Linked DNA regions of Schizosaccharomyces pombe. The protein of the gene in region 3 binds, or shares a complex with, the protein of the main gene of each other region. Each region holds a gene or a part of one and is shown on either strand. Other genes may lie near its edges.

Region 1 (8,566 bases), on a different chromosome or scaffold from region 3:
AAGAAAAAAAATTGAACTATTGGAAAAGAAAGAAAGAGATGAAGAACAGTTTTTGGAAAAAGAGAGACGCGATACCGCAAGAAAATGGGATAACCAAGGAGATTTTATCAGAAATATGAGAAAAGAGATCTACTCTGGTGATTCTGTAAGCTTGGCAGATCGTGTGAATAGTAGCCGACATAACATGTTAAGGCCGTAACGTGATTTCTATGTTTTTTCTAATATAACTTTGATGCATAACGATATAACATTTCTGAATAATGAGTGGAAATGACGGTGGTAAACAGTTGAACATATCAGTTTAGGGTTCATTAAATAAATAGCTTAACATCCAAATGCATTGCATGATAGACGGTAATATTTTTTAATAATACATGAATTCTTAAAATTAACCATTGTTATCAACCAGAATAGTCGTGATCTTCGTTAATTACTTGTACCCGTTCAGGAACATTTTCAGCTTCGCTTTCGCGATAGGTCGGCGATCCGATTACATATCTCTCATTAAATCCATCGCATGATGTCTTTGGTTGATTCATTTTCTCATTTAATTGATTGTGTACTTTGCAAGCCCACGTAGTTGCTGCTTTTCGAGAACTTGTTTGTGGAGGATGTACATCTAGTATCTTTTGGAGTTCCACAGAGTATTCACCACATGGCATTGTAATAGCGGAAGAAAATAGATAATGTCTTAAGATATCTCGCTCATCTAATGTTGGTCTGTTTGGATAATTGGAAACAACCGTATGAATTAACTTCCAGTATGCATTTACCATTAAATTATTCGTGTTATTATCGTGCTTCGTGGACATCATCTCAATTGGTTTTCTACCTTGACCTTCTCGATCCGGAAGCGATTTAATTTCAGGCATAAACAGACGCCAATCTTTGTCTACCATAACACTGTGAAAGATCCATATAATAAACGATAAGATTAGTAGGGTAGGGAGAATCACCTGAATTCTTCTATTAAGGATCATGTTTTATAGTATTTAGCTACTTCGTTTTCCCCGTAAGAACACCTTCATCTACCAAATTAATTGTAAAGGAGAACTGCAAGGACAGAAACTCACGCGGCTTTTTTGATCTGATATGCGGCATCGCTATGTTGCAATAACGAGAAGGAATTGATGGTAAACAAAACTAACCTCCTGGGTTATACAGAGCGAGTGCATCGTTATATCTAATGCTAATTAACAGAAAAACTTTTAAAGTAGTAAGATGGAACAGGCTGCTGGATGATCCAATGCATTACCAAATTGATTTAGATAAATGTATTGCCAACCCTTTAATTTTTTTTTTAGATATTAAATATCTTTTATATCAATTCTATATGCTTTTTATTTTAAGACTCAGAAGAGTTTTAATTATAAGTATAGTTAATAGTTAATAAATATGTAGTTTAGTGATAGAGATATAACCAAATAACAACAAAAAAATTAACTAAAGTATCATTATTATAAAGTCCATTGCTAGGTTTTATCACTATAAAATTTTTTTTAAGTTTGGAATTATTTACTAAAAAAAAGAAACTTAACGTAAATAAATAAAAACTAAGAGGACTTGTTAGTTTTTGTTTAAAAAATAAATAAATAAATAAAGAAGGAAGAGTTTAGCTAAGTTATCAAGTGAGCATAGATAGCATATAATAATCTATGTTTACAGATTTAAATGTTTTAAAGATAAATTACTTGCAATTGCTTGAAGATATGAATTTGCGTTTGATTAGTTTAAATCAAAATGTAAGAATTTTGGGTTAAATTAACATATGGCAAAAGGCTTGTCAAGTTTAAAGCTAAAAAAATACAAAACAATAGTGAATTTGAAAAGTTGTTCTAAAAAACTTGGACAAATCGTTTCCTTGCATTAACATTTCATTTAAAGAGCTAATCTATTTATATTACTTACTGATTATTCTTTATTCGTGGTTATTTCACACATAGGGCTACCCAAACAAGGTAAATTTTTGCGTCGTCTTGCTAGATTTAATGAAGGAATACAGAACAAAAAATCTTTGAGCTTTATATTTATTGTGTGAATTGAAAGAGGATGTTTGCTTGTGCTAGTAAAAACTTAGAAACAGCAATGTATTCTGCTCGTCCTTTTAATATTTTGCTAGTGTAAAGTGTCAGAGCAATATTCTCTTTTACTTAATTTTCGTTTTGAGTTAACTTTCAACGTCCAAGAATACCAAATTGACTAGCATAATAATTTAATGTATAATAGACACATGAGTTTATAATTACAGGTAAAAAGATGTTTGAAGTCTTCCTTTAAATCAGGTGTGTAGGTATAAAATAAATAGATCATTTTCATCTAACATGACCTGTTTACACAATTATACTTCAGTCTTTAGTTTATAAACATGGGCTTTAGTGTAATTTAACTGTGGGTTTTTGTATATTTTATTCATTAATTGACTTCATCGTTGGGTGAAATGCTGTTCAACCGTTGTAAACAACACACCTCTTTTCACGACCACCCACTCTTTTAGAATTTTAAGTAATATATAATTTGTTGAAGATACTATCTTTATGTCTGACAAGGGCATCTTTCGAACGTCTTCAACACCCTCGATTGTGGATGTTACGCCAGATCGTGGTGAAAGGCCACGAAAGTTGGTTCGCTCAGTGCTAGAATCTCCTTCTCAGAAAGATGTCGCATCAATTGTCAAGATAGAGCAAACACCATCTCGCCCATTTTTCAATGACTTTTTAAAAAAAAGAATTACCGATTCTTTAAACGAACGCCCTAATTTGCTCAACAAATTTATGTCTGCTCAAGATGGCACTCCATCTAAATCAACAGGTTTCAATGAACGGAGTTCACAACTTGTGTCAGAATTTACTACTACAGAGGATATTGAGAATTGTGAAGAAACCACTCAGGTTCTTCCTCCTAGACTGGTTGTTTACGAGCTACGCCTAACAAATTTTAAATCATATGCAGGAACTCAGATAGTGGGTCCGTTTCATCCTTCTTTTTCTTCAATTGTTGGACCAAATGGCTCTGGGAAATCTAATGTTATCGATGCTTTACTTTTTGTTTTCGGTTTTCGTGCTAGTAAACTTAGGCAATCCAAAGCGTCTGCCTTAATTCATAAATCTGCAACTCATCCTTCTCTCGATAGTTGTGATGTCGAAATTACTTTTAAAGAGGTAAACTCTGACTTTACTTATGTTGATGGAAGCGAACTAACAGTTCGTCGTACTGCTTATAAAAATAATACTAGTAAATACTTTGTAAATGGGGTTGAGAGTTCCTTTTCTGCAGTTTCTAATCTTTTAAAGGAGAAAGGAATAGACTTGAATCATAAGAGATTTTTAATTCTTCAAGGAGAAGTCGAATCAATAGCGCAAATGAAGCCCCGGGCTATATCAGAAGGTGATGATGGTCTTCTTGAATATCTTGAAGATATCATCGGAACCTCGAAATATAAGCCAATTATAGAAGAGAATATGCAAGAACTTTCGAATTCTGATGATATCTGTGCTGAGAAAGAATCTCGTTTAAAACTGGTGCTCTCTGAAAAGGCGAAATTAGAAGATAGCAAAAATTCGGTTCTTTCTTTTCTCAAAGACGAAAATGAGTTGTTTATGAAACAGAATCAGCTTTACCGTACTATTCTATACGAAACACGCAATAAAAAGACGTTAGTTCAAAACTTGCTTAATAGTTTGGAAGGAAAATTACAAGCACATTTAGAGAAATTTGAACAAACCGAGCGAGATATTTCGGAAAAAAATGAAGAGGTTAAATCATTGCGTGAAAAGGCAGCAAAAGTAAAAAACGATTGTACTTCAGAGAAGAAAACTCGCCAGTCTTATGAACAACAGACTGTGAAGATTGAAGAGCAGTTAAAATTTTTACTTAATAAAGAAAAAAAGTTAAAGAAATCCATTGAGGCTCTTTCATTCGAAAAATCAGAAGCAGAAAATTCTTTAAGCTCTCATGATATTGATTCCCAAAAGTTGAATTCTGAAATTGCCGATCTCAGTTTAAGACTTCAACAGGAAGAATTGAGTTTGGATGACATTAGGAAAAGTCTACAGGGAAAAACGGAAGGTATTTCAAATGCTATTGAAGAAAAGCAAAAGGCTATGGCTCCCGCCCTCGAGAAAATAAACCAATTGACATCAGAAAAACAAATTTTACAGGTTGAGTTGGATATGTTATTAAATAAAGAAAATGATCTAATTAACGATGTTGAGTCCTCTCAATCTTCGCTTGATAAACTGCGTAATGATGCAGAAGAAAATCGGAATATCCTGTCTTCTAAGCTTAAAGTGCTTTCCGACCTAAAAGGAGAGAAGAAAGATGTTAGTAAGAACATTGAAAGAAAGAAGGAAACTGTTCACAATACTTACCGAAATCTTATGTCAAACAGAACAAAGTTGGAGGAGATGAAAGCTTCTTTAAGTTCTTCTAGATCTCGTGGAAATGTGTTAGAAAGTCTTCAAAGACTTCATGAATCTGATAATTTAAATGGTTTCTTTGGACGTCTTGGTGATTTGGCTACAATTGACGAGGCTTATGATGTGGCCATTTCAACTGCCTGTCCTGCTTTAAATCATATTGTAGTTGACAATATTGAAACTGGACAGAAATGTGTGGCTTTTCTGCGCTCCAATAACCTAGGCCGTGCTAGTTTTATTATTCTCAAAGAACTGGCGCAGAAAAATTTAGCTCGTATCCAAACACCTGAGAATGTTCCCCGGCTCTTCGACTTACTTCGGTTTAATGATCAGAAATTCGCTCCTGCGTTTTATAACGTTTTGCAGAATACCTTAGTTGCTAAAAATTTGGAACAGGCTAATAGAATTGCGTATGGCAAAACACGTTGGAGAGTTGTTACACTAAGTGGTCAGTTAATTGATAAATCGGGCACAATGACTGGAGGTGGTACTCGAGTAAAGAAAGGCGGAATGTCCTCAGCTATAACGAGTGATGTATCGCCGGCTTCAGTTGAGACTTGTGATAAACAAGTGCAACTAGAAGACACTCGATATCGCCAACACCTAAGTGAGCTGGAGAGCCTTAATCAGCGATTTACTGAAATTTCGGAACGTATTCCATCGGCGGAACTAGAGATTTCAAAGCTGCAGCTTGACGTTTCTGCTTGTGATAGATTGGTAGCTGGAGAAGAGAGGCGAATCTTGCAGCTTAAATCCGATTTAAAAAGTATTAGAAACAACAATGAACGTAAACGGAATCTCCAAAACAAAATATCAAATATGGACAAGGAAGTTGAGGCCATAAATATTAACAATGAAGGCCTTGTCACTGAAATTAAGACGTTACAAGATAAGATCATGGAAATAGGTGGGATTCGATATCGTATACAAAAATCAAAGGTCGACGATTTGCATGAGCAACTCAAATTTGTTAAAGACAAGCTTAACAAAATGAGTTTCAAGAAGAAGAAGAATGAGCAACGCAGTCAATCTTTCCAAGTTGAACTATCAAACCTTACTAGCGAGTACGATACAACTACTGAAAGTATAGCCACTTTAAAGACTGAACTACAATCGTTAAACAAGTATGTGGATGAACACAAATCTCGGCTCCGCGAATTTGAAAATGCTCTATGGGACATCAATTCCTCTATCGACGAACTAGTAAAATTTATTGAATTTGAATCTAAGCAAATGAATTCCGTTAAAGCAGAAAGGATTGAATTGGAAAATCAAATTCAAGAGCAGCGTACGGCATTATCAGAGGTCGGCAATAATGAAAATAAATATTTAAAGCTCATGTCAAATCTGAAGTTACACAATTTGACTGAATTTTGTGACCAGACAACAATGGACTCAACTTTTCCCGAATATTCTGAAGATGAACTGAGTTCAGTTGATAAAAGCGAGCTGGTCTCTAATATTTCAGTCTTGAAAAAGAAAACTGAAGACAGAGAAGTAGATATCAATGTTTTGTCTGAATATCGTAGATGTAACAAGGAAGCAGAAAAGCGTGATTCTGATTACCAAAGTGAATTGCAAAAAAGAACCGATTTGAAAAAAGTCGTTACAGATCTTCAATCTCAGAGGCTCGATGAGTTTATGTACGGATTTGGAATTATATCTATGAAGCTTAAAGAAATGTATCAAATTATTACTATGGGCGGAAACGCAGAGCTTGAGTTAGTGGATAGTTTGGATCCGTTTTCTGAGGGGGTATTGTTTAGTGTGATGCCTCCCAAAAAATCTTGGAAGAACATATCTAACCTTTCGGGAGGAGAGAAGACGTTAAGTTCTCTAGCCCTTGTCTTTGCTCTACATAATTACAAACCGACTCCTTTATACGTTATGGACGAAATCGATGCTGCATTAGACTTTAAAAACGTTTCGATTGTTGCGAATTACATTAAGGAAAGAACTAAAAACGCGCAGTTTATTGTTATTTCTTTAAGAAGTAATATGTTTGAGTTATCTTCTCGTTTGGTTGGCATTTATAAAACGGCGAATATGACTAAGAGTGTCACAATCAACAACAAGGAAATACTTACAGATTAACTGCACATTCAAATAAAAACGTAGAAAATTGGAAACTAGATATTTAATAATTTACGAATTTTTGGCTACTGAATGTCAGTGTTTCATAATTCACAGTGTGCATACTAATAAATCTATGTTATGAGAAGATTAAACTAATTTAGTTTTGTGGCACCCAGTTTATGTTAATGTTTCAGAAATCTGTTTATGAACGTAATAGGACTACAAATATATAAAATTAATCTTCACTCGCTTTTAAAGCCTGTAAAATCTGCGCAAAGGAATTGTATATAATTAAATATGTTGTTTACATCATCAATTTCAGAAGGTATCTACAATTTGTAGTTACATAGTATAATATTTTAGTGGGTAATGCTTTTAAAGATTTATTGCAATCGTATGCATACCATATAGAACGTATCCAATTTTAAGTAATTTAATTTTATGGTAGTAAATTAAGAATAATTAGAAACAAACAATAAATTAGATTAAACAATATGAGTCGTAAACTTAAATAGGAAATCTCAATGCACACGACGAGATAAATGAAAGACCAATTAACAAGAAAAATGCAAATGATAAAAGCTTTCCAGCTAATAAGAGATAGGAGGACTAAGGAAGAAAGTAATGAAGGAAATAAATGAATGTTAATTACCACATGGCTAGCACCATGTAGCCTAACATGGAGCATCTGAGTAACACTTATTTTATAGCCAGTCGCACTGATGGTGTTCCCACCCATTAAACTCAGTCAAACCCAGGTGCTGAATTTTCCTCTTCGATTTCGATCGGTTTCTTTTAAAGGACAAGCTTGATTCGCCTTTCACAGCAGATTTAAGACGAGAATACGCATCAGAAACTCGGGAAGTAACATTTCTTTTAGAAGGTGTTCTGTCTATTAGTCCCTTGCGAGAGGAAACTTCTTCAATATCGAAAAACTCTATATCATTTGCAGAATTTTTTAAAGTGCTTTTACTACTCCTTCTATTGGCTCGTTTTTGAGCAACAAGCTTCTGAATTGCGGCGCATTCTAATCTGTATTGCGAATTGCTAAGTTCCTCACCAAGTGCACCTCTTGCAAGCCGTGCAGGGGAGGATGGTGAGGCATAACGACTATGGTTTGAAGAAAGACCAAAACCCTGCTTTCCAACGCTGTTTAGCTGTTTCGAAACCGAATATTTATGAAATCTTAACTTTAATGGAGAGATTGGTGAAAGTAAAGGACTTGAATCACCAATGGAGTTCGATGCCGCTTCCAACAGCCATGGCGAATGCTGCGAAATGTTTTTGTCCCAAGGTGATACTGGCGACTTTAACTCTTTATATATGGCATTGATCAGTTCGTCAGATATATGATGTGATAGCTTCAGTGAATTAGAGGTGCTATCTCCAGAACTTGACCTTGTTCTATCGCTTTGATCATCACTGCCATCAATGAAACAGCTGGTTTTTATATTATGGAGTTGCAAGGTTGCTGGTTTTTTCCTTATACCATTCATTGTAAGTTTAAAAGCAATTAATCTGCTTGATAAAAAAATTAATTGACTATTTTGTACTTAATAATGAAGCTAGGAGATCTCTGTATTCAATTATTGTTAAATCCTACGATTCTTATTTCAATGAATCAAGAAATAATATATCGTTAGTAAGATAACTTTTATTTACAGTAGGCCACGAGTTAGCGTGTTATATACAAGACTGAGATCACAAGGTTTCTTTGTTCATGGAAGACAAAGAAAGCTTTTATTGACTTCAATAATACGTAAATTTTAATTAATTATTAAGCTCAATAAATTATCGGGAGTTTTGAAATATTAATTTGTTTTCTCATGTTAGATGGTAATTCGAGATAGCTATTTGGCGGTTAGGTTAAACCAAAGCTCTTGAACCAAAGCAAAAACATAAACTGATAGCTACTTTTAGAATATTTGAGATAGTAAACATTAAAAACTATACAAATATTCATTTAAGAGATTACAAATTAATTTTCAACACCAACCGGTGCACTAATAATAAATTAACTAAAATCAACTTAAACGTATGAATAAATAAAATTTGTAACGGTCCTCATTATACCG
Region 2 (7,807 bases), on a different chromosome or scaffold from region 3:
TTCACTTGAAGCAAAGTTAGGCATAAAATCAGATATAAAATTATACAAAGTGAAAAACTGATCAATATAGGATATAAATAATCCAAGGAATATTAAATAGGCCTCATTGTAGAAACCATTTTCCGAGACTGGGTGTTGAAAATAGCAAGATGATCAGTCCATCAATGGAGTCTACCTTACCATAGAAAATTCATCATATAAACAAACAAAAATAATGGAAAACAGAAAAGGAAACAAGCCCGTTTTGGCTTTATAAGCTATGCTTTAAGGATCGTCAGGTCGAGAGGAAGGGTTGTGACATGCCCTTTTAAATTCTCATAGCTAAAAGGAAACAAGGAACATTAATAAAATATATGGGTAAATACATTCAAAATCGTTTTGGTGGAAGGAATCCGAAAAGTTTTTAAAGCAACAAAATTGTCATGATGATTGATCATGTTGATTATGGCTTGGGAGAGGACGGAGTAGATGCTGAAGCAACACCTTTAGTACGACACAGGGGGCATGAATTTTGGCTTGAAGTTAACCACTGATCTATGCATTCACGATGAAAAAAATGATTGCATTGTTTAAGACGGCGACACTCATCGTTCAACTCAAAATTTGATAGACAAACAAGGCATCTTTCATCGGTTCCCGAAAAAGGGAATACACCACCTGCCTTTTCAAGGTCTTTTTGTGAAGCCACTGGCGGCTTTTCAATACCGATAATAGAATTCAATAAAAGCATGTCCTCGTACGTTGGTGAATCAGTAAACAGTGAAGGTGCTCTCAAAACAGGATGATTTTGAGGTACAAAAGCTTCTCGAACGTATATGGCCCAGCTTCTGGGCAATTGGTGGTCCGTTTGCGAATTATTATTTCTAGTTTCAGGTGCTTGTTGAGTGGAGGATCCATTATTATCGGAAATCCCATTTACGTCTGTAGCAGTAGAAGCTTGCTCGTCTTCGGAAATATGTTCTGCCTCATTAACATTTTCATTTGGCCCCGTATTATCACTAACGGACGTTGTCTGATTTTGCGAGTTAACAAGTGAAGATATCAAATCAGAAGGATGCATTAAAGTTGGGGAATCGGCACTTGGTTGATCATCTTCATCACTTCCTGAATTTCTTAGACTTCGGATGCCAACTATTATAATCGGGATTACTTCTTGACCTTCATGATTTCGGTGTAAATTGTCAAATCTAAAAGTTCGAAAAAGGTTTATAGGACCAGATTCTTCTTCAAGATCCACAGCATTTGCAATTAGTTCTGCAGTCCTAGGATTAGTTTCTGCGTTCATCGCCTGCACCAGATTACCAGCGTGCAAAAGCGATAAAAATTCATCGAAAGCAACATTTCCAGATTCCACATTTCCAGAAATTGAAGAAGGAAATTCTAAATTGTTTGATTGATGTGCACTCGAAGAATTCATCAGTACACTAACCCAACCAGACGCTACTGAAAACACAAATCGAGAAAGCATGACTAGTTGACTTTCTTCTGGAGAAACAGATGCTTGTTGAGTATTTTCACTATTATTAATATAGTTCATTACCGCACGAGTATAGTCCTCCATATTTGAGTCCGCTAGAGAAGTGACAGATCTTACCGGCAATCTTCCAATTGCAGTTCCCGGAGATTCTAAATTATTTACAGAGCCATGATCCTGCATTTCCTGTCCACCGCTCGAACTGACGTTTTCATCTTCATGATTCGATGCCAACGTAGACTGATTGTTTTGGGTATTTAAATTGCGTAAAGCAGCAATACTAGAACGAAATCTTCTAGCAGCACGTTCAAATTCCTGTTGGTGATTTTCAAGGATTAACCTGTCTGTTTGAGGTATTGCAGATGTTTGTGATTCGCCTTCTATACGAGAGCGAGGAGTAGCTGGTGTAGCTGGTGGACTTAACGACCTTAGAGAAGGAGAATTCCTATTCAAAAGCGAACCACGGTAGCGAGAACGAAAAGCCGATCTTTCAGTAGTTCTATCACGATTACCATTTTCCGAATTGCCTTCATCGTTACGATGCCGCTTTGCTCTTCGAAGACCTAAGACTCGCTGCAAAGAGGGAAAACGATTCCACAGCCTACTAAAGCCAGAATTTTGTCGATCTGAATCATTAATGTTTTCACTTTCTGATGAAACCGCCTGCATACTTGCGTCCCTTTGAATTTGCCGACTGGGAATGGATTCACCTTGCCCCATTTGTGTAGTGAGTGCAGTACTGATTATCAAATATAGTTAAATAACAGAAAAGATAAAATATATGTTTTAAATTAAAAAGAATTTAAACAAGTTACTTGAAAGTATTAAAATACATAAACTAATAAATCTAAAATGTTAATAGCGGTAAGCTTTTTGCATACTAAGCATCATTACGTAGTTTAACGTTGCGGTAAATGTTATTAGAGTAGTCGCACTCTTTTATATCTACTATGAAGTCTTATTTCACCTTTAATGCTTTAAACGACAAACAGCTTTAATCATTTTTACACTAAACAGCAAACAGTTCGGACTGAAATGTACTGCTGAAGATTTATCTCCCTCTAGGAAATACTTTACAAGTCAATCAGTTTTTTGAATTCTAGTCTTAAATACTTGGGCTTCAGTAAACAAACAGAACGAGAAATTTACTGAAGAAATGAAAATAGAGGAACTCATCATTGATGGTTTCAAATCATATGCTGTGCGAACTGTCATTAGCAATTGGGATGACCAATTTAATGCTATAACGGGCCTCAATGGGTCTGGAAAAAGTAATATATTAGATGCAATATGCTTTGTCTTGGGAATTACGAATATGTCGACTGTCCGTGCCCAGAATTTACAGGACTTAATTTACAAACGCGGACAGGCAGGAATAACCAGAGCTAGCGTTACCATTGTGTTTAATAATCGGGATCCTGCGTCTTCACCAATTGGTTTCGAGAATCACCCGCAAGTAAGCGTTACAAGACAAATTATCATGGGCGGTACAAGCAAATATTTGATTAATGGACATAGAGCTCTGCAACAGAATGTTCAAAATTTGTTCCAGTCTGTTCAGTTAAATATTAATAATCCTAATTTTTTAATTATGCAAGGTCGAATCACCAAGGTTCTTAATATGAAGGCTACTGAAATTTTATCAATGATTGAAGAAGCCTCTGGTACTCGAATGTTTGAAGAAAGGAAAGAAAAGGCTTTTCGAACAATGCAACGAAAAGAAGCAAAGGTTGAGGAGATTAATACACTGTTAAGAGAGGAAATCGAACCCCGACTTACCAAACTTCGTACAGAAAAAAAAACTTTTCTAGAATATCAACATATTTATAATGACTTGGAACGATTAAGCCATCTTTGTACTGCTTACGACTATTATAAGTTGTCACTTAAAGTGGAGGAATTAACGGTTCAAGCATCCCAGAAGCACAGCCATATCGCCGAGATGGAATCTTCATTACAAACATCGAAACAGGAGGTTTTAATACTAAAGGAAAAGATTAAAAAAATTGAAGATGAGCGAATGAGACAAATGAGTGTTTCTTCGGATCGTACCTTGGACTCTCAGTTACAAACTGTTAATGAAAACATCACCAGAATAAGCACGTCGATAGAATTAAAGAATACAGCTTTAGAGGAAGAGCATGGGGACCTTCAACAAATTCGTGGAAAAGCTAAGGAATTAGAAACTTTGTTGCGCGGAAAAAGGAAACGACTAGATGAAGTGCTTAGTGTATACGAAAAAAGGAAAGATGAACATCAAAGTATTTCAAAGGATTTCAAGTCTCAAGAAGAGCTAATTTCATCACTTACAACTGGTCTTTCCACTACAGAAGGTCATGAAACTGGCTATTCTAGAAAACTACACGAAGCTCGAGATACGTTGAATGACTTTAAAGCTGAAAAAGAAACCAATCGATTAAAGCTTGAAGGACTCAATAAACAAATATCTTTAACTAAACCTAAGAAGGCTGAGGCTACAAAACGATGTGATCAACTCAATCGCGAAATCGATATATTACAAAACCATGTTGAGAAGCTTAAAATGTCTTTAAAAAATACAAATTCCGACATTACAGGTGAAGATGTACTCCAGCAAAAGTTGAAGCAACTTGCTAAAGATCGCGGCAATTTGTTAAATGAACTTGATGCTTTAAAAAGCAAACTTGCTTATATGGAATTTACTTATACCGACCCTACTCCTAATTTTGATCGCTCAAAGGTGAAAGGATTGGTGGCTCAATTGCTAACCTTGAATGAAGAGAATTATGACAAGCAAACTGCATTAGAAATTACAGCTGGTGGCCGCCTTTATAATCTCATTGTTGAAACCGAGAAAATTGGTGCACAATTGCTTCAAAAAGGAAACCTGAAGAGGAGAGTTACTATTATTCCCCTCAACAAAATTACCAGCTTCGTAGCTTCAGCAGAGAGAGTAGGCGCAGCCAAAAAAATTTCTAATAATAAAGCCCAACTTGCTTTGGAATTAATCGGTTATGACGATGAGCTTTTGCCTGCAATGCAGTATGTTTTTGGCTCCACATTAGTCTGTGATACCCCTGAATCGGCAAAGAAAGTTACCTTTCATCCTTCAGTTAAATTAAAAAGTGTCACGCTTGATGGTGATGTTTATGACCCATCTGGTACCCTTACTGGTGGGTCTGTGAATAAATCTGCCGGTCCTTTACTACAGATACAAAAGCTGAACAGTCTGCAGCTAAAATTGCAAGTAGTTACTTCAGAATATGAAAAGTTGGAGACTCAACTTAAAGACTTAAAGACTCAAAATGCCAATTTTCATCGACTTGAGCAAGAAATTCAACTAAAGCAACATGAATTAACACTTTTGATAGAGCAAAGAGAGACCGACTCATCTTTTCGTCTTTTATCTGATTATCAGCAGTACAAAGACGACGTTAAAGATCTCAAGCAAAGGCTTCCTGAATTAGACAGACTTATATTGCAAAGTGACCAAGCTATAAAAAAAATTGAACGAGACATGCAAGAATGGAAACATAACAAGGGATCAAAAATGGCTGAATTGGAAAAGGAGTTTAATCAATACAAGCACAAGTTAGACGAGTTTACTCCTATATTGGAAAAGTCCGAGAATGACTATAATGGCGTTAAACTCGAATGTGAACAATTAGAAGGCGAATTGCAAAACCATCAGCAATCTCTCGTACAAGGTGAATCGACCACGAGTTTAATAAAGACGGAAATTGCAGAACTTGAGCTGTCACTTGTTAATGAGGAGCATAATCGAAAGAAACTCACCGAACTAATAGAAATTGAAAGCGCCAAGTTTTCTGGACTTAACAAAGAGATAGATTCACTCAGTACCTCAATGAAAACATTCGAATCTGAAATAAACAATGGGGAGCTAACAATTCAAAAGCTGAACCACGAGTTTGACCGATTAGAGCGAGAAAAATCAGTTGCTATAACTGCTATTAATCATTTGGAAAAGGAAAATGATTGGATAGATGGACAGAAACAGCACTTTGGTAAGCAAGGAACCATTTTCGATTTTCACTCTCAAAACATGCGTCAGTGTAGAGAGCAGTTACATAATTTGAAACCGCGATTTGCTAGTATGCGTAAAGCTATTAATCCCAAGGTTATGGACATGATTGACGGTGTAGAAAAGAAAGAAGCCAAATTGCGCTCTATGATAAAGACCATTCATCGCGATAAGAAAAAGATCCAAGATACTGTCAAAAGTATTGATCGGTTTAAAAGGAGTGCCTTAGAAAAAACCTGGAGAGAAGTCAATTCTTCTTTCGGTGAAATTTTTGACGAACTACTTCCTGGTAATAGTGCAGAACTACAGCCACCAGAGAATAAAGAATTCACTGATGGATTGGAAATTCATGTAAAAATTGGGTCAATTTGGAAAGATAGTCTGGCAGAACTTAGTGGTGGACAAAGGTCTCTAGTTGCATTGGCTCTTATTATGTCTCTACTTAAATATAAGCCTGCTCCAATGTACATTTTAGATGAAATTGACGCGGCGCTCGATTTAAGTCATACCCAAAACATTGGAAGACTTATTAAAACAAAGTTTAAAGGTTCTCAGTTTATTATTGTTAGCCTTAAAGAAGGAATGTTTACCAATGCTAATCGACTATTTCATGTACGATTTATGGACGGATCATCTGTGGTACAAGCTCGCTAATTTGAACGTAAACACTTGAATTATACGCGCATGTATAGTCCTACTATTTACTATCACCGATGTCTTAATTTATTTAAAGAATATTTCTACCAATCATTAAAAACAAGACTTTTGGTTCTTTAAAGTTGTTTGTGCCGCTAATGAAACTTAGACTACGGTATGTATCATATGTATAAAATATCGTAAACTCATCATTTCCAAATTTATTATTAGCGTCGATGTCATTTGTAGCATATTCAAAAATATTTAGGGTAGGGTTTTAAAATTTTGATCGATACAGGATGTTTCTGTGGTTATGTATTTAGCCTCAACATCATATAAAATTGGTGCGACAGCCGCAATTAAGTTATTATTTGTATGCTTTTTTGCTAATAAATATCCTAAAAGTGTAACTGGAGCAACTAGCTAGTACGTGTTTTGGGAATTACACTCACAGCGCACATATAGCATTGGAAGTTCTTTGTATGACTATATTCTAAAATGTCTCCTACCCTTGTTGTTGATCAAGAGAATTCGGAAGAATTTAACACCTCCTCATTTGAAGGTCCTGAAAAATTGCTGGAACTATGGTTTTCGGCTCCTATAAAAACCAATTTAAGTGCGGGTGAAAAGGCTAACTTGGGACTAAAAGCTGTTTCTCGCAATGATTGGGATGATATGCTAGCCCAAGCCCAATGTAAAGTCCTCAGCGTTGTTAATAGTGAAGAAATAGATGCATATTTACTTTCTGAATCCTCTATGTTTGTGTTTGCCCATAAAATTATCCTTAAAACATGCGGAACCACTACACTACTGGCTAGTTTGCCTCGCCTATTAGAAATTGCTTCTAGTGTTGGCTTTGATCGTCCTCTTCGTATTTTTTACTCAAGAAAAAACTTTTTATATCCCGAACGCCAGCTTGCACCACATACGAGTTGGGAGGAAGAAGTTCGTTACTTACAACTGTTTTTTCCAAGTGGATGCTCTTATGTAGTGGGTCCGACAAACAAGAATCACTGGCATCTGTTTTCTGATCTGGCTGATGATTATTCTTTACTGGAAGATTCCCTTGATCCTGAAGATGAGACCCTAGAGGTACTCATGACTGATATGTCTCCCGAACGCTCGCTTCAGTTTTACGCTCCATCCTTGGATGTTGTTCGGAGCGCTAGAGGTGATGACTATGTTCGAGAAAAAAACAATCTCTCGGGGGGTCACATCCTTGGCAGTTATGTAGCTGATGAATCGGGTGTTAGAGACTTATGTAGTACCTCTGATAAAAAAGCAGTGCTTGATGCTTTTCAATTTGAGCCAATTGGGTTCTCGTCGAATATGATTTACAAGGACCGCTATGCCACAATCCATGTTACGCCTCAAGAACATTGTTCTTATGCTTCATTTGAAACAAATGTTTCGCAATTCCAATTCGGAAGATCCATATCTGAAACAATCGAAAAAACTGTTAAAACTTTTGGTGCAAACAAATTTTGTCTTACCCTTTTCCAGGCTAAAGGTGCGTCTCAAGAGAAGCATTTCTCGGCCAAACTTAAATCTTTTAGCTCTTATAAGCGTGAAGAATTTATAGTGTATGACTTTCCTGGATATGATCTTATATTTGCCAGCTTTACTGCAGTATAAGTTCGGAGAACAGTCAGCTAGATATTTTAAATTATCTGTTG
Region 3 (7,878 bases):
GCATGAGTAATATGATGAACGGTATGAATGATGAGGAGGGATCTTTGCGTATGAAGCGTATGCTCTACATCGTTGATTCAATGACCGAACAAGAGTTAGATTCGGATGGTCTTCTATTTGTTGAACAACCCTCTCGTGTTTTACGTGTTGCAAGGGGTAGTGGTACAAGCGTTTTAGAGGTAGAAGAAACCATTTCTCAGGTCCGAGTATTTGCGCAAATGGCGAAAAAGATAGGAGGAAAAGATGGAATTTTGGGTAAACTTGGTGGAAATCCAGCCGCAGCTCTCAAAAAAGACCCTCGTCAACTTGCAGCTATGCAGAAAAGAATGCAAGCCATGGGTATGGGGGGAGGAATGCCTGGCCTCAATCCAGGTTCTATGAACTTTGGTGATATTTCAAAAATGGCTAACATGTTGATGGGAGGCGGAGGTCCCGGAGGGGCAGGTGGTATGGATTTCAGCGGTATGCTCAATCAATTTCAAAATATGCAAAAGCCTCCTCGAAGACGTTAGTTTACTTCCCTCGTTATTATAATGTACTCACATATGGCATATTTTACTCTAATACCTTATTTACTGTTTTATAAAAATATATGCATTAAAAATTCATCGTCCTTCTCGTTTTCCTTTTTCTTTCCCTAATTACTTAACGTTTGCTTTTATAATTGTGTAAAATTTGTTTCTATTTCTACTGAAGAGCTAGCAAAGTTTGCTAAACCGTAAACGTGAAGCATCCTTGTATGATTGCTCTCGACAATTATTTGCAGATTTCTTAAGAGCTCGGTTAGCTTATGTTAATTGCTCTTGCTTCGTAAAATGAGAATTGGATTTATTGTATATTAATAATGGTAGTGTATTGAGAACATAGTTTTTTAGCCGATTAGGATTAAGTTTTGGGTTTTCTCATTCTATGCAATCACATGAAAAAGCTTCTTGAAAGTTTCAAATTTGTGCTTTATTAATCTAATTACTAGTTTGAACAATGAAGGATACCTAAAAATAGGCCAAAAGGCTTGTACGTAGAAAGCATAAATTAGAACTAACGGCAACTGGAAGCTATATTTGAACAGAATGCAGAGATGAACTTAAGTGGAAGATTCTATAGAAGCATGAATTTTAATATATTCGTTGAAAGAAATGGTGTTTTAACCGAGTCTTGAGACAAATGTAATTAGAACGATTTGTACTTACAACATTAAAGAATTGAGCGAAAAATGAATGGCACTTAAAAGTAGTAATGTCAAGCTTATGGTTCAAATACCTGTTTCACAATGAAGCGTAAATGGTTGAAATGATTAAATCCCTACCATCAAATCCTGTAGTGTGTTTATATAAAATCAAAATAAGTTTTACTATCTATTAGCTTTAAACATAAGGAGAAATTAAACGGTTTTATTGCTTTATGCCGTGAAATTGCAAGTCTCGAATAAATGCCTATGACTTTTAGTGGAACCAAAGCTTTTGCTAAATAAAAGCCACCAAACAATCTATTAGATTTATTTCCTACAATACGATTTATAGAATATATAAAATTGACATGAATTAGAAATTTTTTATATTCTGGTTTTATTAACACACATCTTTCGATTAGCATAACATTGAGCACTCTACTTTAGAGAAAATCATTTTCTTCTATGTCTTTGGCAAACTTTCCAACGATAGAACTTGATTACGATAGTTTGAAATCAAAAATTTCGAATTTCAACAGCATCTTCGATCGATTCTTGCAAGAAGAGAGAAAGAAGCTTCTGAATAACAAAAATGAATATTTGCGTCAATTATCTGAAATTAATGGTACGTTTATAGTGATTACTCTGCTTTTTTAAGTTAACATTGATCTAGAGGCACAAAAGAAGGCAGAGAAAAGCCTTGAGCAAACTGAGGCTCGAAAACAGAATTTTACGGAATTATTAGAAAAAGAGCATGAGGAGCAAGCTATTACAGAACAGGAAATATTTTCGTTTCAAGAAAAGCTTGATGCAATGTTGAAAAGGAAACAAAAGCTCTCTGAGGAACTTGATCATTACCGCGCAATCATCTCGTCCAAAAGAGAGTTGAGGGCTCAAGAGATGGAGGCGAAACGGAAACAGGATTCTTATAATAATCCAGAGCTTAAATTTTGGGAAGATTATTTGGGCTTGAAAATGGAAGGAGTTCATGACGAAGTCATCAGATTTATATTTACAAACATTGATGAAAAAGATTGGAACAAACAATTTTCATTTCAAATCAATCTTGCTGAAAGGGATTATAAAGGTAAGAAATCTTTTGGGATTAAAAAAATTATTATTTAGATTTGAGCTTAAACTAATCCCTTCAGTCGTGCATTGTCATCCACCTCTACCACATGTTGATGATTTGGTAAACAAGGTTAATCGCACTAGAGACTTTTATCAGTTTCTGAAAGATATGCGGAAGGGATTCCGTGAACTTCATAGAAAGGATCTGTCTCAATTGATTTAAAGATCTTCTTCTTGTTTAACATAAACTTCCTCCTCGTCTTCCATGTTGGCTTCCACTGTATCAGGAATAATTTCGCCAGATATGGCTTCAGCTCCAGCATGTTCATTCTCTTCAGCATTTTCCATTAATCTTTCTTCTTCTGTTTCTTCAAATTTGGATCTAGCTTCTTCGTTTTGAAGCAACATCCTTTCAAATTTCGCAAGTATGCTCAAACTGGTGGAATCCATGGTGAAACCATGCTATACATTATTAGTTGAAAGAACCATTTTGAATAATTCTCGCTGAATTAGTATTAACTTACACTCTCGTATGTTTCTAATTTGCGTTTTGTCCTCTGATAATCTGATGAAGGCAAGTCAGTAGGGATTTTAAGCTTCCCCAATAAGGATATCATAAATTTTCTCTCTTTTCCTACATTTGTTGTTAGTATTAATGTCGTTTCTTGTATTTAATCCCCACCTTCAGAAGCATTAGGTAACGACTCAAAAATCATGTTTGCTAAATGTAGATGTACATTATGATTTAAAGCGATATAATCATCTCCTGTTTGTGTTTTTCTTTCATACAACTTTTCGTTGTCAGTCCAATCTAACATTTGCTGAGCTATGTGTCCTATGCTTAATTGAACATCATCTTCATCAAGATCGCGGTATATTTCTAATAAGCTTAATAGTGCATCGCAGAATATCTAAAATGCTGTTAATTATCTATTGTTTGTTCAATAAAAAATAATGATAATTTTCCTTACAGTAGCTATTCGCCATTGATTCTCGTGTGCACCAAAGGCATAAACAGGAAAGAAATAGCCAAGAACTTGCCGTAGCGCATGATTATCAACTGTGTTAGGCTCAAAATATTGAATGATGAGGGGTTTTAGAAACTAGTTGTTGTAAGTAAGTTATAAAAACACAGCAACATACCAGTTCGTCTCTGTAATGCAATATTACCAACAACTTGGCTATCGCCTCAGCACCGAGAGTCTGTAATTCGGCATTTTCGAATTCCCCTAAAGCTTCAAAAAGTATAGAAGAAATAGCATCTTCATATTCGGTGAACTTGGCTTTTCCATGTTGTATTAACATATCAGTCAATGTACGAATTGCGGTACACTTTAAAACCACAGAACCTTTCTCGTAACAATGTAAATACAAAGGAACGTTTTCAAATGCAAGATCAGCATTCAACAAGCAAACCAAACTAAGACACTCTAATCCTTTTTCTCTAATTGGCAAGTCATGGCTCCTCACAGCCGGGATAATTAAAGTCTTAAGCATGTCTACCATATATAAGTTTTCATTTAAGGAGGATGTGATGTTTTCAAATAGACACTGAACGTACGAAAGGCATCTTAACTCATTAAAAGCTTCTTTATATCCATCCATGTCGTCAGGTTCAGGCTCATTTAGTTCATTAGGTGGTAAAGATGGAGATGGTGACTTTTGCGAAACAGTAATCTCCTCACCCTCATAATCATTTTTATTCAGTTCTGGAGCATTGCTGTTCCCTTGTTCCTCAGTCTGGTTTTGTGAATGTCCTTGTTCAAACACCTCCGTAATAATTTCAACTAGCAATGAGCAAAAATCGTTTTCAGAAGAGCAAAGTTTCCTTAATAGTTCTATATGTAAAGAGATTAGTGAATCTGGAAGGGCCATAGTAGAAAGACTATTTGTAAGACTCTTTAAAAGCTTTCTGCGACCAATTTCATCAACCATGTCCTGGCTTAGACCAATGTATAACAGTTGTTCAATTATAAAACATGACTCATCATAAGAAGACTTGTCTCTAAGAGAAACATACTGCCTTTCGATATAATATGTAAGTTGAACAACTTCAGGCATTTTATCCAAAAGGTCAGTGTAATTTTTCTCTATACAAATTTCATTGAATGTCCTAGCAAGCAAGGAAGACTCAGCTGTAAGCTCTAACCAAAATTGTTCGGGGAATTCCAGCTGAGACAAACTATCCACGCGTACATCAAAGAATTTTTTAATTGCTAAAACTGCAACATCAGAGTTGTTAGACACATCAAGTCTCTCTAGAAGTTCCAAAAGATTGTTATCAGCGTTTTCAATCCACTGATATGCAAGCATATCAGCCGCGGCTTTTTCAACAGATTCATCACGATCATTTAATCCCCATTTCAATATCCTTACTCTCTTCTTTATGCTTAAATAACGAAAATCTCCTATTTTCGGTAATACTCGGGCATAGACACATTTTCGATTGGCAGCATCAACATCGCGTGCTCTTTCAAGAATAAAAGGGAGAGTTGAGTTGCTAACTTCAATATTTAAAAGAACAGACCTTCGCACTTCAGAGCTAGGATCGTTTTGCAATAAAAATAAAAGAATATTTCGAACATCGTTTTCTTCGTCACCGGTGTCTTCTTGAAGCCGAGATAAAGCAACAACAGCTTCAAGGCGGACTATCGATTCCCGGTCTAAAACTCTGGACAAAAGCTTTTCTTTGAGGGTATTGTAAAGGTCATCATCAATTTCTTTTACACAATTAACCACTCTGGCAATAATTTGGCAGCAACGATATCTTACAGTTTTATCTTTGGCATCTAACCCACGAAGTATATGTTTTAAGATAGGTTGAACAATGTCTATCTCAGGATCCTTCTGCTGAAGGTAATTAACAAAGGTTACTAGGAACCTCAAAACGCGGTCAGCATTTGAGTTTCCTTTTTTAACAGTTAATATAATATTTAGCGCCCTTAGGATGTCGGTTTCAAATCCTTCCTGCGTCCGTAGGGTAAACAATTTGTTGCATAGCTTTCTATGACCAGCAATTGAAGTTTGACTAGATGAAATAATTTGAATGCAAGACATATTCAATAACAATTATATTATGCCAATTTTAGTGCTTTTGCTGAAGTTGAGGAGCACCTCACTGGCATACCTACAGTTGGCTCTCAGTGGTAGGTTAAGCTGGGGTATGCAAACAAAAAAATGAACCCTTCTAGCTTAGGCCCACTTGAGATTGCAACATTCAATTTGAAAAGAAGATTGCTACCAAGTTACCGATTTATATTTTATTACAATCAATTAAAAGAAAAGGAAATACTAACTGAAAATGATATAGTATGTAAAATGTAAAAGAGGGAATATTAGAGACTAAGTACAATATATGGATCATTATTAAAATATGCAAGTCCTAACCATTGGTGTAGTCAAGTGAAAGTTTTTTTAGTCTCTCAGTAGTAGAGTGCACAGTAGTAGGGTTTTGAGATTTAAGTTTCATAGCATTCTCTTTAGCGATGTTTTCTAGTATAGTCCATCTTTCTTCTCGTATAATTTCTTCATCTTCTTTTTTCCGACGACTCTCAGAATACTCAGCATCAACTTCATCGAATAAAGAAGGATTAATGTCCATGAACAATTTTAAGACGTTACAAACCATAGAATGTATAACTCTAACAAAACGTCAGCAAGAACTAATAAACCACTTTCTTTATCTTAAATAAAGAAAATAAAAAGGGATTTTAAATGAGTAACTACTTACCTATTCCAGTGACTTTTTGAAATTTCAAAGAGTGCGGGATATATAATTGGTAGTATAATGTCAACGTTTTCTTCAACCAAATGCACGAAATAGTCGTTGTTAAAAAAATATAAAGCTCTTTCAGCAACTTGGAAATTTTGGCTAGATATGGATGTTGCCAACTTGTGGAAGAGCGGCACCTGGATCTTTAAAAACTCTGAAGGTTCCATCACTTCAATAATATCTTCAATTTCATTTAAAAATAAGACTTCTTTTGAGCTATTTACTTTCGGCCAGTATCGAAGTAAGCCCAAGACAACCTATATTGTCATCGTTAGATAAAACGTAAGAAACACTAGGAAATATACATACCTCTTCTGTAACAGATGAATCCTTTTCAACAAATTGAACAATTCCATAAGCAATTTGAGGGTAATAAAGGGGAAGGGATTTGGCTTTATGTAAAGGAATAAGAACACGTGACAAGAATATTTTGTGTTCCTCTTTTAGTGGTAGGGCAAATCCATTAATGATACTCCCGAGGATTTCCAACAGTTCGGCAATACCATTAAATTGCTCGTTCTCATAGACAAACTGCAAAAATAAATTATTAATTGAGCGCCTTATGAACGCACGAAGAGAAAGAAACTTTCCGTATATTCTATGAAGTGTAGTCTTTAGAAAATCACGTTCCCTAGGATCTTCGCTGTCGAACAATACAAGTAATTTCCTAATAAATTTTTGATTAATATACACCTTGGCTACGGATGTATTCAAAGACGGAGATTCAAAAAATCTTAAGAAAAAATCGTAAACAAGGTGAAGATGGGGCCAAGCAACTTCCAAAGCCGGCTCATCTTCTTCAAGATCCATGATTTCACCGGGAGGATTAGAAGGAGGAGGTAAAGGACGAAACACATTTACTGCAAACATATGAACAATGGATGGATACAATGACTCATCAATTGCTTCCTTTCGAACAGATATTAAATCAATGAGATCTTGAAGAGCCTCTCGCTTCACTTCTTTTCCGTAAAGATCGGTGGAGGGATCGTTGAAATCGAAAACAACGCAACATTGTTCTAATTTTTCCAACGCCAGAGAGTGCCATTTATTAACAGGAACATCTAAATAGACAGGTTAGTAAATTAAATTGGTTGACAACAAAGTATATTGATAACACCTCAGTGTTTGTCAACACCAAGTACATTAAATCAGAAAGAAAATCCTATTCAATGTTTGTGGTTTAAATCATCTCTTAGTAAAATAAAATGAAATGTGAGAAAAAATGGAAGGATTCCTTTTTCGATATCAGACACATCAAGCTGAACAGTAAATCCACAAGCGACACCAGCATGTGCCGCATTGAACACCATCCAATTTCATGACATTCTAATAAGAAACAAAATCTTTTATAACTACTTAAAACAATCAATGAAGTGTATCCATAAAACATACCAGTAAAGGATGGAAGACGGACCAGGTTTCGATTTTCAGATATATGGTAAAGGGATGAACGTTGTTTACGAACAGTCCTGACATTCTCTAATAAGATCTCATCTCTAGGAGTTGGTGTGGTATCAATAGGTACTTTCTTTCCTGAATGTTTTGGAACAGTAAGAAAGTCGTTTTGGGCACCAATCACAGAACCATTGGGATCCGTCGAGGGAGACTATGAAAATGTTAAAAGTAAGTAAAAACCTTTTCCGTACCTCTTTCGGAGCCTTGCTAGAGTCATGGGAATTCGATTTTTTGCTTTCCTTCTTCTTGCTAGACTTCTGGGTATCTTGAGATTTCCCTCGAGAAAGCTAGATTCTGGTTAATCAAATAAACACTAGATATGGATCTTACCATTTTGCTTTTAATCCCTTTCATCTTGAGGGCTATTTGGAGCGCTCCAACCCTTTCTTCTTTGAAGCTTTCAAAACAA
Region 4 (8,156 bases), on a different chromosome or scaffold from region 3:
TTTTTATCAAGCATTAAATGTTCAAGCCAGCATTGCTTGTCAAGGAACATTGCCTTCAGCATAGACCAGCTACCCCAAAGACGTTTCCTAAAGTAAGGAATCGAGCAATTATTAAACGACCAACTTTCTAATCCTGAGCTGATAACACCAGGAACCATAATAACAGGATGGTCACTTCGATATCCCTCATTGTACATATCAAGACCAACTTGAACTTCATTTCCGCTAGGAGACTGCGAAGGCTTGTCCGTAGTAAAAGGTGCATCCTTAAACACATTATAAGATAAATATCCTTTAATGTCATCAAACAAGTCTGAAGAGCCTAGCATATTCCCAAATTTATCTAACGTAGCAGGGTCGAAAACAGCATTGTCGTCTCCAACAGCGAAAAAAAAAGCACCGCATATTCCCAAAATAGCGCCCAATATAAAATTCAATCTTTTTCCAAATTTAGATTTTCTTGATTTATTTGAAACAGATTGTGTTTCGGACGCTGAAGGTTGCTCACTCAAAGCGCGAGTTGGTTTCTTTGAATTTGGTAAGTCGATAGGAGATTTGACTTCTTTCTTTTTCTTATGAGTTTTGCTCTTCTTGGAAGACGCCATAGTTAACTTTAAAATATGAATTGCTTGAGCAGCAACTGCCAAACATTCGATAAGTAAGCGAAGTCCTTACTGTCATAGTTCTACAGCAGGAGTGATAACGAAGTGAGCGTTAAGTTGCTTTAGAAACACGTTTAATATCGGTTTCCTTCTACAATTGTATTTTGATTTAGTGTCTAAAAGTTTGAAATACCTTATTTCTAGTTAAACTGAGTTACGTTACAATGCACTTATACTCAGTATATGCCGATTATATTTATTATCAAAACTTCTAGCCTGAGAGGATGATGACAGTTCCAAAAAATGATCTCTGTTCAAGTATGTAATTTACCAATATTTGATACAGCCTAAAATTGAGAAGAGTTCCTCAGTTTTACTTAGCAGTTAATGAAGGTGAATAGTTTTCTAGGGTAAAGTTAAATCTTCTTCATAAGCACAAAAAATAATTAATGACCCAGCTAGAATGTGCAAATTACTTAGCTAATAACTAAATTACCTTAACTTGCGCTTGAATTGTTTAATTGTTGCAAATAATGGGTGTTGTAGATCAATGAAGTTATAGTTATTAACATTCAATTCGTTATAAAAAAGGTATACCGTCATTCTTCTTTTTAATTAGGCAATACTAATATACAAAGGATTTTGAATATGTAAGATAAAGCATTAGAATTGACTTTATTCATGATATCCATCGTCAATGAGCTTTTGAATATTATCGGCTTTATGAGGAAGCAAAGAAAGTGCATACACCACATGATCCCATTGACGTTGAGTTTTACACCGATCAAGACGAGCAGCCAGACGTTCGGCTAATTGCTTGGTATGTCTTTCTTTTTCAATAAAGGACGTCAAGAAACGAATGATACGCTTAAACTTAGCGTCGTCCTCATCCTGCTCCTCTGCACTTCTAGATAATACACTGAAGATATCAATAAAGTTATTATATACAGAATTATCCTTGGCTGCAAAATCAGTAAAAAACATTCGAGCAAGATCAGAAATTCGAGCATCTTCGTCTTCCAAAGAACGAGCCATAATACCCAGCTGGCCCTTTACTTTTATTTGACCAGCTAAAATCAAAAATGCTAGAGTCATAAAGCATGTCTTTTTGACAGAAGACTCTTCATCCATCAGTCTTCTATATAAGTATTCGGATATTTCATCAATAAAATGATTGAAACAAACAGTTAAATCTGCTAACCCGATTACTAAGTTGTTTCGAATAATCGGATTATCACATTTCTCCAGAATGGTTATTAACAATGGAAGATGTTCCATACAAAAATTGTTAGAAAGACACATAAATTTGGACAAAGTCAGAGAAGCAGCTAGTAAAAGGCTTTGATTATTGTGCGATTTATGATTTGAGCACAATTCTACTACCAATGGAGCAAATCTCGAAAGTAAAGAATTCTCACCATAGAGCAACTCCCTTTCACGAATAAATGTCATTGCTTCTGAAAAATCATCTTCACTTGTTCCCGTAATTAAATCATATTCAGAAGTTTCTTGCCCATTTATAGGATTATTTGAGTTCTGTACGGCCAATCTCTCGGCGTCCGCTTTTCGCCGTTTGAACTCTGCCTCACAATATTCGATATAGACTAATTGTTTAATCGCGACATGGCCTACTAAAAATATTAAGTGCGCCAGTCGTATACCTATTTCTTCCTCATCTTTTAATGTTTCTTCTTCTGGAGAATCATCTAAATCTTCGTCCATTGCATGATCATCGTTACTGGTAGTATTCTCATGATTGGAAGGTTTGAAGAGTTGTTTCGTCAAAAGCAAAATAATGTTGGTACAAAGTTCGTCAGGATGTTTGGCAACTGCATATATAGCCTCAATAGCTTGCTCTTCTAACCCAAACCACTCTTCAGAGAACGATGGTCGAAGTAAAAGCATACATAATTTTTGACAAAGCGTATGCGAATTTGGAAAATTAATATTAGAAGAACCAGACGCATCTTTGCCAATACGTTTAATCGCTATACATGTGTACCTTGCAAGAACTAAATCCTCCAAACCAGGGGGACCAAGTCCTATTTGAATAAGATGATCCAAGCCCTGCATGACAACATCGGTATTGCCTAATGCTAGCATTCCAATTACTATGATGGATCCTCTACGTTGTGTTCGAGATATATCCTTCTTTTGATAACTGTATACTTGCCATAGTTTTGTTATGACTAGATGTGAAAAATACCCATCTTTCATCAAAATGCAAAGCATCTGTTCAAGTGATGTAAGCTCAGCAAGGCTAGCATCATATGTTAATGAAATAAGATTTCTCGCAATATAGTTTGCGGCTTCGTTGGTACCAGAGTTCGGAGGTGGCTCAAAAAATAATGTTTTATAACATGACAATACATGGTTCTGAATGTTGTTCCCTTCGTCGGAGGTTCCTTTTACCCAAATTAAATGAATCATTTTTTTTATATATAATTTTGAAGACGAAATTCCAAAAGAATTGCAAAAAACAAAGAAATCCATTGACTCAATTACCTCGCTCTTATTTTTAGCAAACAACAACTGGCTTATTATTTTTGCTCCCGCTTCCACAATGTCTATATATTGGAGTGCTTCTAAATAAAACCGTTTCGTTAAATTCACTTTGACTATTTCCTCAGCAGGAACAGAATCGACATATTCGCTTAGAGAATTTTCCAAGTGACTTTCTCCTTCATGTGACTCATCATCTTGGATCATAGTAGCATCCTCTAATAAGTTTTCATCGACTTCAAGCTCTGAATCTACCACCTTTTCTTGTTGCTTTGGTTGTAAAGAATTAAGCTGTTCCTCGATGATAGATAATCCTTTCTCCCAAATATTTCTGGTTAGTAAGCCATTGTGCATAACTGAAAAAGGATGGGTAGTTAAAAGTTTAGAAAATAACTTAATTGCATTTCGGCGGACATGACTTGACCGATCTTGCAAACATCTGATCACGAGTTCCGCGATTTCTTGACGTTTTCTGGGATACTTAATTGGTAAATCAAATATTTTGATAAAGACGTGAAGTACTTTAGTACGACAGTAAGGGCTTATATCTAGTAATCGCTCACTGAGAAGATCCATTAAGCTTTGAACAGTTGCTGGCACTGACTCTGACATTTCATTTTGAGCCTCATCATGAATTTGATCAATGACCACATTAGCAAGTACTTCTATGATAGCGCATCTCAGAGTATATGATTCCGAATCAAGCAGCTTAACTAATTGAGTAAGCTGTTTCAAACATAAGTTTGGAATAAGTGAAGAAAGACGGACAAGAAACAAAGCGACTTGCTTGGGACCTTTAACATCGTTATCATTAAATTCTAGAGAGCACAATGTTCGAATAATTCCTTCAGCCAAGGTAACGGAATTAAACTGAACGGTAACAATATGAACAAGATCAGCAGCATACTCAGATAAATGCTCAAAGTATTGTAAATTTTGAATAATATTTGTCTCCGCTGCAGTGGTATGGTTATGGAATTGAACAGCAAGCCCGATAATATTAAATAAACGAGAACGGAAAGAAGCATTTTTTATGTTAATTTCACTTTCCATTAACGTGTATATTGGTTTTAGGAAAAGTGAAAGAAACATGTCTCTTTCCGAAGAAGTAGTCCATACACGAGATAATTTTTTTTGAAATAATGTTATGATTGCATCTAACAAAGCATTTACATGTGAGATACCATTCCAGTTAGAGTTAGTAGTTGGATTTTTTTTTCTTCCCTTAACAGTATTAGTGGATGACCGAATAACTGAAAGTTGATTTGAGGAAGAAAGGGAATTGACCGTGAGCTGAAATGCAATGCCTGTAGTTTCTAAATTCGTTTGAGGTACAGTAAAATCAGTAGCATTTGCGGAAATCATATCTTCAAGAATAGCGGATTCAGAGCTGATATTACTCGTGAGTAAATCATATACTTTATTCCTTACAGAGGAAGAGAGGTCAGCAAAGTGTCTAAACCATTATTGTTAGTTTGGTAAAATTGATATATAGTAAACCAAATGGCTTCCTTCTATTTGAATAACACAAAATAACAACTACTTACGAACATATAGCAAAGAGTTTTTCCAAGCAATCCTCGTCGAAACAAGAACTCGTTCCTAATAAAAGGGTATCAATGACGTCTAATTTTTCATTGTTAGTTATTGTGGAATCGATCATTTTCAATTTTTTTAAAAACCCAAATGTCCATACCGTTAACCACGGCTGTCAATCCAGCATTTTCACATTCAGCATAAATCGAGTCCAAGTCGGAATTTTCTTCATCATGAATGTATTTCTTTAATCTAGAAAGAAGATCCAACGACATTGAGGCCACTGAAAGCCGAATCTTTCTATGTTACGAATGAAATAAAAGATGGATTTGGCGTACTACATTCTAGTAGTCCTTGTAAACAATAACCCCACCTATATGTCCTGTGTGGGGGTCCATTTATACTTTCTTACTAACAAAAAAGAGCTACGGTTAGTCAAAATATAAAATAGGAGCTAGACTTAATTGTTGCTAACCACTTTAAGGATATAGAACGTGCTTTTATTAACTCATTTGTTTACATTAAAAAATAATATTTTAATTAACTTTTATTGAGCGTGCCACGTAAAAGCTATTGTTCTTTTTAGTACTTCTAATTAAATGTTTTGAAAAGAATTTAATATATTTTTTGAATAACGTTAGTTGTAAATTCTTTCTTGAGCTGTATTTCTGATATAAAAACTTATAATTTATTTTGGCGCATGTATCATTTTCAAGGTGATTTTCAAAATTATTATGAATGCAAATTTTGACGAGGTAAGCATTTGTGCTGTTTTTAGAATTTTAAAGTAATACACAATAAACTAAACAGAAAACCTATCGTAGTTTAACTAGGAATAAATTTCAAATTCAGGATAATTTTTTTATTTATTTTTAAATAACAGAAAAAAAAAACGTGTTTGAATACCATGGTTAATCATATTTACTCTCAATGTCCAATAAATAGTCAATTCTAGTTGTTTATGGTGGTTATTAACAATAACAAGAGCCCAAAGGATTTATGTTTTTTAAAGCAAGTCCTAAATTTAAAAAAAGATAAAGGACATGAAATCTTAATCTTTTCCATAAGTATACAAATATTATAGCAGAGTACTTTTTTTATTAAACAAAAGTTGGATTAAAAATGTATTTTTCTTGTTTGGAAGTAACAATGTCCCTCATTAGAAGAGCATTTTGCTTAACAATGTACAACTGGTGTTGAACCTGGAATCTGCAAATTCTTATATTCATGGAATGAGTTTGTGTTACACATTTTAAAAACTTGATTTTTTTGAATCTTAGTATTCGTTCGCGTGTTCGGTTTGAAGGTTTAAAATACGTGAAAATTTGTTTTTTCTTGGTTCCTTCCCTTGGCAGCATTTTACCATTTAATTGACGACTCTTTTAATTTTTTTTAAGTTATTATTTGGTTTAAAAATATATGAGTTAAACCGTTAACATGGCAGAGGCCCATATCACACTATCACCTAAAGTAACTCATGAACAACAAACAGATATTGATTCTGAATGTGAAATCACTGAGGTGGACGATGAAAATGTAAACGAAAACAAATCTCAAGAAATGATTCAAGATATCCCTGCACGAGACCGCGAAGAAATTGAAAATATCACAAGGACGTTCGTAGAGCTACAAGAGAACTATCGGCTAATTGAAAAAATTGGAGAAGGTAAACTTCAATTACCGTTTTTAGTACTGTTTTGAAACTATCTTGCTAATTCGTTTAGGTACGTTCTCCAGTGTATATAAAGCGGAAGACCTACATTATGGGAGGTATATTAATGATTGGGACATTCAAAGTGAAGTGTTAAAGGAATCTTCTTTTGGAAAAGAAAAAATTCCTGTTAATGAAGACAGCCGGAAACCGAAGTACGTTGCTATAAAAAAAATTTACGCGACAAGTAGTCCTGCTAGAATATACAATGAATTAGAAATCCTATATTTATTAAGGGGATCGTCGGTAATAGCCCCGCTAATAACTGCTTTAAGAAATGAAGATCAGGTACTCGTAGTTTTACCCTACTACGAGCATACTGACTTTCGTCAATATTATAGCACTTTTTCCTATCGCGATATGAGCATTTATTTTCGATGCCTTTTTCAAGCTATGCAGCAAACTCAGACTTTGGGAATCATTCATAGAGACATTAAGCCTAGTAACTTTCTCTTCGATGTTCGTACCAAGCATGGTGTCTTAGTTGACTTTGGATTAGCAGAGCGTTATGATGGAAGACAACAATCACATTCTTGCCGGTGCACTAATTCAAATGCGGCCGAATTAGCACATGATTTTTCGATTGCGCAGGAAACATCTCTTGGATACATAAAAAACGATACTCGACCAAGCAAACGGGCCAATAGAGCCGGAACTCGAGGATTTCGAGCACCTGAAGTATTGTTTAAATGCTCATCTCAATCACCCAAAGTTGATATTTGGTCTGCTGGGGTTATTTTGTTATCTTTCCTTACTAAACGTTTCCCCATGTTTAATTCAAAGGACGACGTGGATGCACTCATGGAGATAGCATGTATATTTGGAAAAAGCGAAATGCGCCAATGTGCTGCTTTACACGGTAAGAACGATCTAATGTCCCTTACGGAAGTGTTTGTGTTGATTTTTTTCGCTAACCTGCCAGGTTGTACGTTTGAGACAAATGTAAGCACGCTTACAGAAAAAAGAGTAAACTTTAGGAAACTTATTTTGTGGGCCAGTTGTGGTTCAGCCAGTATATACAAAGAAAAGCTTCGTCATAAACCAAGCCAAGAAGAGCGATTGTGCCTGGATTTTTTAGAGAAATGTCTTGAACTTGACTGTAACAAAAGGATTTCAGCTGAGGAAGCATTGGATCACGATTTCTTGTATCTCGATAATTTAGCTTACGAAAAGAAAGATGACGATACAGCTTTTGATAATAGCTTTGGAGAAACCTCTTTCGAGAAAGACGAAGACTTAACTGCTAAGCACTTATCCCATATCCTTGATTTTAAAGAGCAGGAAGAAACAGATGAACCTACTTCTTTATCAAAGCGGAAGCGAAGTATTGATGAAATTTTACCAAATGATGCTTTGCAGGATGGAGCTTGAGAAGATTTGCTGGCAATTTCTCATCAAGCAATCACTTATATTTGTGCATACATTTTCATTTACAGTATAAGCATTACTGTAATCATTGGGTATTAAAGTGAAAGCATTATTGTATGTCTATACATCGAAAATACCCTATGGAATTTTTGGGGTGCATTTTCAGTTACAAACATTAATCCATAATTAATTTTACCATAGCATAACGAACACATATCAGCAGGTGAGGCTTTTTCACTTACTGACTTAATTGAAATAAAATCTCTATACACTATTTGACCAGAGAATAACACTACAGATTGATCATACAACAATTATATTCCATCAAAGTATAGACGGATAAACGAATCAAACAAAATTAATTTTATTAAGCCACTAAGCAATCACAGGATGTTCTTAGGCAATGAGCTCAACGACACCACCAGCTTGCTTGATCT

What was found.
Region 1: cnd3 (region 3) and cut3 share a complex: the UniProt entries of both Schizosaccharomyces pombe proteins name them as parts of the condensin complex.
Region 2: cnd3 (region 3) and cut14 share a complex: the UniProt entries of both Schizosaccharomyces pombe proteins name them as parts of the condensin complex.
Region 4: cnd3 (region 3) and cnd1 share a complex: the UniProt entries of both Schizosaccharomyces pombe proteins name them as parts of the condensin complex.

Annotation. Positions count from the first base shown.
Region 1 is NC_003423.3:1,000,432-1,008,997, reverse strand, and holds cut3 (condensin complex SMC subunit Smc4), read left to right. Parts: upstream 1-2,474; 5' UTR 2,475-2,534; coding exon 2,535-6,509; 3' UTR 6,510-6,735; downstream 6,736-8,566. Other genes in the region: protein Cwf25, read left to right, coding at 1-199; erv2 (sulfhydryl oxidase), read right to left, coding at 402-980; SPOM_SPBC146.02 (uncharacterized protein), read right to left, coding at 7,196-7,987. UniProt on the Schizosaccharomyces pombe protein: Central component of the condensin complex, a complex required for conversion of interphase chromatin into mitotic-like condense chromosomes.
Region 2 is NC_003423.3:2,876,192-2,883,998, reverse strand, and holds cut14 (condensin complex SMC subunit Smc2), read left to right. Parts: upstream 1-2,630; coding exon 2,631-6,149; 3' UTR 6,150-6,312; downstream 6,313-7,807. Other genes in the region: SPOM_SPBP4H10.07 (ubiquitin-protein ligase E3), read right to left, coding at 443-2,194; S-adenosylmethionine decarboxylase proenzyme Spe2, read left to right, coding at 6,630-7,766. UniProt on the Schizosaccharomyces pombe protein: Central component of the condensin complex, a complex required for conversion of interphase chromatin into mitotic-like condense chromosomes.
Region 3 is NC_003421.2:1,475,722-1,483,599, reverse strand, and holds cnd3 (condensin complex non-SMC subunit Cnd3), read right to left. Parts: upstream 5,398-7,878; 5' UTR 5,297-5,397; coding exon 3,383-5,296; exon of another isoform or gene 3,343-3,382; coding exon 3,211-3,342; exon of another isoform or gene 3,151-3,210; coding exon 2,922-3,150; exon of another isoform or gene 2,874-2,921; coding exon 2,764-2,873; exon of another isoform or gene 2,702-2,763; coding exon 2,459-2,701; coding exon of another isoform or gene 2,320-2,458; 3' UTR 2,256-2,319; coding exon of another isoform or gene 1,842-2,255; 3' UTR 1,794-1,841; downstream 1-1,793. Other genes in the region: signal recognition particle subunit Srp54, read left to right, coding at 1-512; Ndc80 complex subunit Spc25, read left to right, coding at 1,634-1,793, 1,842-2,255, 2,320-2,462; serine/threonine protein phosphatase PP2A regulatory subunit B-56 Par1, read right to left, coding at 5,622-5,880, 5,970-6,268, 6,321-7,075, 7,407-7,620, 7,661-7,756, 7,800-7,823. UniProt on the Schizosaccharomyces pombe protein: Regulatory subunit of the condensin complex, a complex required for conversion of interphase chromatin into mitotic-like condense chromosomes.
Region 4 is NC_003423.3:3,196,897-3,205,052, reverse strand, and holds cnd1 (condensin complex non-SMC subunit Cnd1), read right to left. Parts: upstream 4,966-8,156; 5' UTR 4,916-4,965; coding exon 4,801-4,915; exon of another isoform or gene 4,731-4,800; coding exon 4,652-4,730; exon of another isoform or gene 4,627-4,651; intron 4,561-4,626; coding exon 1,278-4,560; 3' UTR 1,067-1,277; downstream 1-1,066. Other genes in the region: phospholipid--diacylglycerol acyltransferase Plh1, read right to left, coding at 1-605; Dbf4(Dfp1)-dependent protein kinase Hsk1, read left to right, coding at 6,078-6,306, 6,365-7,210, 7,274-7,722; rpl2801 (60S ribosomal protein uL15), read right to left, coding at 8,116-8,156. UniProt on the Schizosaccharomyces pombe protein: Regulatory subunit of the condensin complex, a complex required for conversion of interphase chromatin into mitotic-like condense chromosomes.